Nothobranchius furzeri: one gene and its partner. The protein of the gene in region 1 binds, or shares a complex with, the protein of each later gene. Links are inferred from orthologs where the notes say so. Each region holds a gene or a part of one and is shown in the gene's direction. Other genes may lie near its edges.

The links. Proteins that work in one complex are often made in the same cells at the same time.
Region 2: polr1e (region 1) and polr1f share a complex: the UniProt entries of both Homo sapiens proteins name them as parts of the RNA polymerase I (Pol I) complex. The link is inferred for Nothobranchius furzeri from reciprocal best matches to the Homo sapiens genes POLR1E and POLR1F.

The regions. Positions count from the first base shown.
Region 1 is NC_091747.1:78,705,414-78,709,723, reverse strand, and holds the end of polr1e (DNA-directed RNA polymerase I subunit RPA49), read left to right. Parts: coding exon 1-87; intron 88-167; coding exon 168-298; intron 299-1,872; coding exon 1,873-1,954; intron 1,955-2,044; coding exon 2,045-2,176; intron 2,177-2,963; coding exon 2,964-3,129; 3' UTR 3,130-3,218; downstream 3,219-4,310. UniProt on the Homo sapiens protein: Component of RNA polymerase I (Pol I), a DNA-dependent RNA polymerase which synthesizes ribosomal RNA precursors using the four ribonucleoside triphosphates as substrates.
Region 2 is NC_091751.1:28,041,163-28,046,209, reverse strand, and holds the start of polr1f (DNA-directed RNA polymerase I subunit RPA43), read left to right. Parts: upstream 1-2,033; 5' UTR 2,034-2,078; coding exon 2,079-2,362; intron 2,363-2,635; coding exon 2,636-2,777; intron 2,778-2,848; coding exon 2,849-3,057; intron 3,058-5,047. UniProt on the Homo sapiens protein: Component of RNA polymerase I (Pol I), a DNA-dependent RNA polymerase which synthesizes ribosomal RNA precursors using the four ribonucleoside triphosphates as substrates.

The DNA.
Region 1 (4,310 bases):
AGAAGAGTTTGCTGCGTTACAACAGGCTGGCTCAAAGATGGCAGCGCTCACAGCTGAGGAGCTGAAGAAGATGCGCGATGAAGGAGGGTGAGAAAAGTCAACGCTCACACTTGTTTTATCCAGCGGTGTTTTCTTGTATTCTGATGTGTTTAATCTTCCTCCTGAAGGTTTCTTTGTGTTGTCAAGCATCTAGAGAGCTTGCCACCAGCGGGTGAAGCTAGAGAGAAAGTGGCACGCTGTGCCTTTTACCTCTCTCTGCTCTTCAAACTGGCTCGACAGAAAAACATCAGCCGGAAGTGTGAGTGTTTCGGTTTTTCTTCATCAAATATGAATCAAACTGAACGAAGTTTAACAATCAGGTTTGGTCGGGCAGGAAATATTCTCTCATGGTTCCAAATACTGAGAACATGGCAGCTACTTAATTCTTTTATTACCACAACAAACAGTCAAAAGCAGGTAGTTTAGTAATAAAAATGTAATGGAAGCATGATTGTGGATTTGGCGGCGGTCCCCAAACCCGCTGGTGGACACCTGACGGTTAGGGATGCTGTCAAGCTGAAGAAAGAGTCCTCTTGGGTCTTTTACTGTGGGACTCCGGAGGGAGCTGACAGATACCGACAGCCCAACTGGAATGCAGCTAGAGTAGTTGCAGCGGTAAAAGTCTAGGCGTGGGAGGAGTTCGGTGAGACCATGGAGCAAGACTTCTTGGGAGATGGTGTGCTGCTGACCTCTACTCGGGAAATTGTAGATCTGTGAGCGCAGTATTTCGAAGACCTCCTCAATCCCACTGGCATGTCTCCCAGTGAGGAAGCAGAGTCTGGACTTCTGCTATGTGGTGGAGTTAAGTCATTCACTGCCAGCCGTTTCCTGATCAGAAAAGCCCTTCGCTGCCAGCATTTTTCAGAGCTTTCACTTTTTTTAAGAGCCACAGAACAATGCGCGCTATGATGATGTCAACTCCAAAACAACCAAAACAAAGCGGAGACTCACCTCTTACATCAGGTAGAATCCACGCATTTTGAGCGTTATCCGTTCTTTCATAATCTGTTGTTGAATTGTGATCGGCAGAAGCTTTTCCGGTTCGCGCCTCACTTTTTTTTACAGCAGCGGCCCAAAACGATCTCCTAACACATGGATGTTCTGCTTCCTGATCACGTGACGTGTGACATACGTGGATGAAGATAAGCTTTAGAGCTGTGTGGGGGCTCGTCCGACGCCCACACAGTAAAAACATGCAAATGATGACTTTAGTCGTCAATGGCAGTGTATGAGTTAATGCTAATGGTTAGCTTCTACTAGCTGAGACGTTCTCTGCTGTTTCCTGGACACTAAACCAACAACAGCCTTCAACGTCGTGAGGCAACATGGGTGAGTCCATGAATAATAAGTGACGGTGTGACGCAGATCTGTCGGGATTTTCAAATCCTAGTTTCAATGTCTACTTTCTGTCAGAAACTAATGCAGGAGATAGGTGTAGGAGACTATTTTCATGTTCAGTCTTCATGAAAAACTCAGTGACTGAATATAATCAGAAGTCATTTTAAAAGGGGTTTTCTGTGTTCCACACCTTTTACTGTGATGTAGCCACTGGCGAGGCAATAAACGATCTTAAAGCTCCCAGACTTATCTGTGCCTATGGTAACAAGGCTGGCCGTGTTTTGTTGAAAGAGGTGGGACAGAATCTTACTTAAAAGCAGAAATAGTCGAGTCAAAGCCCGAAACCCCTCATCACCAAGCCTGGGTTTTACCAGCAGTTCACGTATTACGATAAGTTTAATGATCATTTTCAACACATTTGATAATGTATAATATTAAACATTGAGCTCTATTATTGTCTATTGGATGTGTGTGTGTGTGTGTGTGTGTATACAGTTGGGCAGGAGGAGGGCTGTCCTCGGATCATTCAGACGAAGCTGCTCAAAACTTTTAGTGTTGAAACTTTCAACAATGGCAGGTATGAAGGTGATTCTGAATGTTGAGCATCAATTTTTAAACCAGGTGTTTGAAACCAACTTTGACATTGATATTATTATTCCCCTTCTAGGATCCAGAACTTTGTGTCAACATCAATGCGGGCCAAAATAGCAGCATACAGCCTGGCTCTGCTGCTGCATATGGGTCACATGACTGCTGACCTCTCCTTACTTCACCGTGACCTCGGAGTCACCGAGGCTAAGTGAGCAGACTTAGATCTATGTTGTCGTTCTTTTTTAAAACACAGAAACGGTTTCGTTTACCTGTTATTGACGCTACAGTTTCGCCGACGGCTGCCGGCTTCTTCAGGCTGACGCTGATGGTGGCGCGTCACTTCCTTCTCCATTTATCTGCGGGCAGTAGAGGACGTTGTCGCCCTCTACTGCCCGCTCTCCCCTCTCCGACGATGCAGAAGAAGCAGAAAGTACAATAAAGAAGTCAGCCGTAACAGATCATTGCTTAAGAGAAAACCATGTAATGGACTGGGACAACACACGGATCATAACCACTGAACAACAAAAATACAAAATATGGATCAAGGAAGCAATCGAGATAAGGAGACGTGGATGTGGGACCATGAACAGGGACGACGGAGTTTACACGCTGGACCACGCATGGGACTGCATCGTCGGAGAGGGGAGAGCGGGCAGTAGAGGGCGACAACGTCCTCTGCTGCCCACAGATAAACAGAGAAGGAAGTGACGCCACCATCATCGTCAGCTCTGAAGAAGCCGGCAGCCGTCGGCGAAACTGTAGCGTCAACAACAGGTAACAAAACCGTTTCTGTGTTTTATAAACGAACGACAACATGGAATTAGAAATAACGCACAGCAAGAACACACCTAAGATGTTCAAAGACTTAGAACTGTTTGCAACGTTCTGACTTTTATTGTGCACCTATATAACTCCACTCCTTCGTTCTAATGTCACAGAGTGTCTGTGAGGTGTTCTACATGAATTCTGCTCGCTGAAATGTTGTTTCCTTACAGGATGATCGAAGTTGCAAAGTCAATGCGACTGTCTTTGACCAAACCGTCCCGGCTAAAAGGCGACGAGGTAGAAATGAGCCAGGAAAACAAGCAAGCCTCCGTTGTTCTGCCTCTGGTCAAATACGAGTCGTTCACCCAGAGACGGAAACGCAAGAAAATGCACTGAAGACCGCGAGAAACCACAGACTTTAAGAAGTGGAAACACCACAAACAGTTTATTCATGTGTTTTGTAGACAAATAAAGTTGTTACATGATGTTTTTTATTTTTGTCAAAAATACAAAAAGGAAAACGCCTAAGAAGCTGTAAACCTCAAGACGACAGAATATTCAGTTTCAACGTAGAGGCACATTTGTAGACATGACATATTGCACAATTAACATGGATTCCCTCCTGTCTGGTTACCAATGGGCCATTCCCATCTGTACCGGGTCGGCCCGGGCCGGGTAGCGTAGGTTGTTTACATATCTGGGTGGCCTGGGATTTTTCCGGGCCAACCGAGGCTCATTCTCAGCCCTCTTCTCGAGGGGGTCTGCTTCAGGCCGACCAGGGCCAACACACCCACTGCTGACAGCAAATTCACACCTTCCATTAGAGCAAGCCTCTGATTGGTGGGTAGAATCAGCCCACATGGGCTTAAGGCAAGGATGTGTGGAATCAACCGGGCCAGGCTGGGGCTGACGGGCTACCCGGCCCGGGCCGACCCGGTACAGATGGGAATGGCCCACAAGTGAGTCACCATGCAGCGCATCAACGCCATCTTCAACAATAACAATCCCATTAAAATGAGCCGAAGCTGAAACCTGCTTTCTGTCCCGACCCACCTGGAGACAACTCTGTGCACGAGGCATAAACTTCGTTTTGCCTTTTTTTTTTTTTATTGCATAGATTTTAAACGATCAACACCCCTATTGTGGCTACAGTAGTTCATTTCTGAAGTAAAAAAAGGCACAATGTGACTTCCTGAAGCCTTGGACTCCTGCTCGGGTTTGTGAATGTGCATATGCTAAACCAGAAAATCTCAGGAACAATCCAAAGTCACCCTGAAAAAGAACATTTTAGCGTAACGCCTGTGAGAGACTACAAGAGGACTCGGGGATTTCTCAGCTGCTTTGAAGTGCGTCCGGTCTGCTTTAATCTCCAACACTGGGCAGAAGATCACATCTGTGATGTTTCTTCAACCTCTACTGCCAAAAACTTAGCAGAAATATAAAATCCTATCAGACCTGACCCCTGAACGCACCGACGAGACGCCCGAGTGGAAACCAACACGGCACTTTAAAATAGCTGAAAAATAAATACATTTTGATAGTAAATATTTTTTATGAGAATGGGTATTAAAGCCAAG
Region 2 (5,047 bases), on another chromosome or scaffold:
TGTGTTAGCTGTTTCCCATCACAGCAGAAACTGCTAGGCACTCTTGCTGTTCAGGAAACCACTTCACTGGTTATCACCATGACAACGGACAGGAGAGGGGGGCCACAGCACCCCTGAGAGCATCAGGATCTGCAGTCGACCCCATCAGGGATACAGGGAGGAAAGCTGATCATGGCACCTCCTGTGGTGCTGCGCTGTCAGAAAAGAGTAACATTAGAACTGTGTGTGTGTGTGTGTGTGTGTGTGTGTGTGTGTGTGTGTGTGTGTGTGTGTGTGTGTGTGTGTGTGTGTGTGTGTGTGTGTGTGTGTTACACTAGCTGACACCCCAGGTCACCCTAATGGTTTTAATGTGAAGAGGATGCAGAATCAATGCCCTTTCCAGATGTATCTGTGCATGATCTAAAGCTTATATAATGAGAGTGCATGGGTTTAGTGCATCAGATCAGTGATAATGCTTATGTTATTATTTAGCTCTAATAATGCTGTTACCCTCTAAACAAACTAAACATAAAGATGAGTTACTTTGATTTAAAACTCCTCACTGAACCATGTAAACCTGCCAAACTGAAAGGTGCTAAACCTGCTGTGGACTCTAATTAAAGTTAGACTAAATAGTTTTTTAACTTTAGTCCGGAGATTAAACGTTGATCTCTGAGACAGTTCTTCGCCGTGTCCTGTCCGGCTGAAAAACAATCAGAACTGATGTCTGAGTGCCGAAGACAAGCCTTACAGTTTTTCTCTCACAGGTGGGTCAGCTACAATGCCTCACCTGAAATCAGAACATTCTGTAGTTTTTGGAAGTATTTGTTCATTTATGACAAAATAGCTGAACACTATGAAAAAATGGCATTGCTGCTTAGGCTCTGGGCAGGGCTCAGGGACAGGGACTGACTTAGCTGTTATGTACTGATCCATTTAAAATATGTCAATCATTCACATAAAGCAGATTTATATCTCATCATCTGATTAGTTAAAAACAAAATATGTTTTGTTGAGTCTGGGTTTCAAAACAGGAATGTCACTATTTTAGTTTTACTTTCTTTTACATTATTGATGAAATACAGAGAGATCAGCTTGTGAATCCAACACATGGCAACACTGTAAGTATAGCACTGTTAACACGTGGAGAGCACCAGCGTAAATACATCTTTTGTACTTTATTTATTTATTTATTAGAGAAGATAACATACAAACAAAATGCACCTTACATTATATATTCAAAAGATAATCATTACATGCATATTCAACATTTTCATGTATATGGAAAAAAAGGAAAATCTAAAGATGGGGTCACATAATTAACAGGTTATTAACTTACTAACTCAAAATCTTCTACAAAGGAAATAACAAACCAGCCTTTTTCTTTTTAACTAAATTCAAAGATTTAACTAATACTTTTAAGTTGTTTTTCCAATAGGCTAGTGTTGGTTTGGTCTTAAAAAATCGACATTTATGTATAAATTGTTTACACAAAATTAATAACACATTAACACCATAACTAACTTTCTTTTCTTTCAAAAACACTCCAAACATTATCATATTTAAGGTAAATGGGGCAATTTGAATCCCACTAGAACAAAGCCAGGCATGAAAATCTAACCAAAATATTTGTATAAAATTGCACAAAAAATAGATGGCCTAAGTCCTCCTCTTCTGTTTCACAAAATACACAATTACCAGCTTCTATATTGAATCTATCCCCAAGGAGTCTATTGGTTGGGTAAATTTTGGTCAAAAATTAAAATTGGACTTCTTTCCCTTTAGGAGCGATAGGGAAGGTGATATCACTTCTTATTTTTTCAATTTCTTCCCTTTGGAAATCTTTTAATATGTAATTACGTCTAAGTAAGTTTGGATCAAAAAGATTCCTTAATGAAGATCTTAGAAACTTATTATTGCATTTATCATCACAAAATTGAATATCTTCTATATAATACATCTTTTGTACTTATTAGCTCACGGTCTCCCAAAGAGCGCTGCTCCAGTGAACCTCCGAGCCAGCAGGGGGCAGCATAAAGGTTTAGTCGCTAACTTCAACACGACAGTCTCGGTTGTTTGTCTTCCGGTCCTCTGGCAGCATGGCGAACTTCGAGCATGCTGTGGAGGATCCAAAACATGTGGACTTGTCCAACAATATGAGCGCTGCTGGCGCCCCGGTGAAGCCGTCCTCTGCTCCGGACAGAGATGCGGGCTGCGTGGTCCCCTCCTTCGCGGCCGCGTCGGAGCTCCTGCCGGTGCCGTACTCGTGTCTGGTGCTGAACTCCCACCGGAGACACGTCGCTCTGGCGCCGCAGTACTTGAACAAGAAGAAGACTGGCATCCAGGAGGAGCTGGACGGAGAGCTGCTGAAGTTTTCCCAGAGGTAGAAAGACGAGCACAGGCGGGATTGCCTGATTTAATCACTGTGCTTGCATTTTATGGCAGTCAGCTGACAGCTAAAGGTGTATTCTTTGTGTTTTAAATGAACTATTTGATCTTTTTTTAAACAACTGGAATCAGCAGCGTAACATATCTTCAACATCAGGAGGTTTATTTGAGCTCAAGTCAAAGATGGAGTCAGGATTGTGTCATAGTATGCTTGGAAAACTGCTGGTATTCCCGTTCCAGTTAAAGCTGTTGGTTTTGTGTCTTCCAGTTTGAATGGAGTGCTGTTAGCCTATGACAACATTAGGATTTTGGGAAGAAATGGGGACATCTACAATGACAGCGGCTACATCCACATGGACATAGAAGCCAGCTTCATTGTATTTCAGCCCAAAAGGGGACAGAAACTCCTGGTAAGATGGACAGAATTAATCAGAAGTCATCTCAGTAGCACCAATTGCTGTCGTTGGTTTGTTTTCTACAGGGTAAAGTGAATAAACTGGGAGTGAGCCATGTTGGCTGCCTCGTGCACAGTTGTTTCAATGCCAGCATTCCCAGGCCAACTCTGGTGTCCATAGAGACCTGGAGGGACGCTGGTCCTAAAGTCGGGACAGAGCTGGAGTTTAAGGTGACCGCGCTCGATGCTGATGCTGCAGGAGTTCTGCTGATCAGGGGACAGCTGGGCCGGACCAGGTGAGTAGGTGCTGATGCTGAGTTGATGGTTTGTTTTAGGGCTGGGCGATATGGACCCAAACTTATTCCTCTATCTTTTAGCTGAATTCCGATATACGATGTATATCTCAATATTTTTCCTCCTGTAAAGTATTTCCAAGTTAACTCACTTCAAGCTGTCTTGAGAAATTATAAACATACATCAGTAGATTAAATGCATAAAAATGTATTGATTCTTGTCCAACTTTAACCTTAGTGCCTATTCTCAACCAGTCTGAGCTTTAGAAACACTGGTACAACTGTCTGCTAACACACACACTCACACACACACACACACACACACACACACACACACACACACACACACACTCACACACGTACACAGTTGAGAGCTAGAGGTGTATCAAATGTCCCACAGGGACTTTTTTATTATATATTTATTAGTAATGTAAAATGATTTAGATTTCATCTAGAGGTGGCCCATATCGTTTATTTCTTGTCCATAACAAAAATCTATCATGTTAGGCTAAATTTATGATGATGTTTATGTATTTAGCAGACGCTTTTGTCCAAAGCGACTTACAAGTGATAATCGGCATGTAGCCCTTGAGGCTAACAACAACAATAACAACAACAACATTGACATCAGTCATGGAGAGGAGGGAACAAAGGAGTGGACGTTAGAGGGAGGGACGGGTGCAGGAAAGGTGCTAGTTAAGAAGATGCTCTCTGAAGAGCAGGGTCTTCAGGAGTTTCTTGAAAATTGAAAAAGAAGCCGCTGTTCTGGTAGTGCTTGGAAGGTCATTCCACATTTGTGGAACGATGCATGAGAAGAGCCTGGATTGTCCTGAGCGTGGTGTAGGCACTGCTAGCCGACGATCCTGTGATGACCGGAGCGGCCAGGCCGAGACGTAAGCCTTTGCAAGAGGATTCAGGTAGATGATGCAATTGCATCTACTGAAGGTCACATGGGTCATGCACCATAGAGTTATTAGTTATCAGGGCAAACATGGCTGGAATCTATCAGTGTTGACTCATATCAGCGATTATACTGTAATGACTCAGAGTCTCTGGTTGCTCTTTTATGAGTAATATATTTGAGCTACTGTCGCCGTAACCCACGCCTTACAAACTCTTAACTTTTTCAACAGAATTGCTCGTAACGGGAGTATTTATTAGCATAACAAACCACAGCGGAAAACCCGGAGCAACATTTCTCACCCGTTGAGCTCGCCTTCAAAATAAAACGTTAACCCTATAGTTTACTATTCAAACCCTTACTATATGTTTGAAGTAATTTGCCCACTCCGGCTTTCCGTAGATGTTTCCTCATTACACAGGGGAGGGAGGGGTTTGACTCGTCTCTCCACACAAGCAGGACGGAAAACAGAACTCCGTTGGCGTTGAACGTCCCCAAATAATTAAAAACCAGAACGCCACATGCTAAGTTTAGACCAGCACATTTACCCAGAGGCTCTCAGATTGAGCAAACTTGAGAGAATACATGTAATAACCCCTTAGAGACGGAGCAACATGTCACTAGCATAGCAGTTTGACCAGTTATAAAGGTATAAAGTCATCTTATATCTTGTTTAAAAATTATACCGATATTTTAAAAATATCGGTATATCGCCCAGCCCTAGTTTCTTATATGTTATCAGTTCCTGTTTCCACCTGGGTTCAGTGTCAAAGTCACGTTATTGTTTTCATTTACATTTAAAACAGAAAACTGAAGTTACATCAGTTCCCAGGCTTTTGTCTTTTTGTCTTGCTCTTGTTAAGGAAACAGAATCCGATAGTCCCACATGTGAAATGGGGTTAGGAGTTTTAAAAAGTAAAACTTCTTCATATGTCTGCTAATGACCTCACCAATTAAACAGATTATTCATGAACATTAAATTATCAATAATGGTAGGATACACGAAGTCAGCCATCCAAATGTAACTTCACGTTTTTATTTGTTATTTTAAATGGACAGAAATCATCGTCATATAAAAATATGAACATAGCC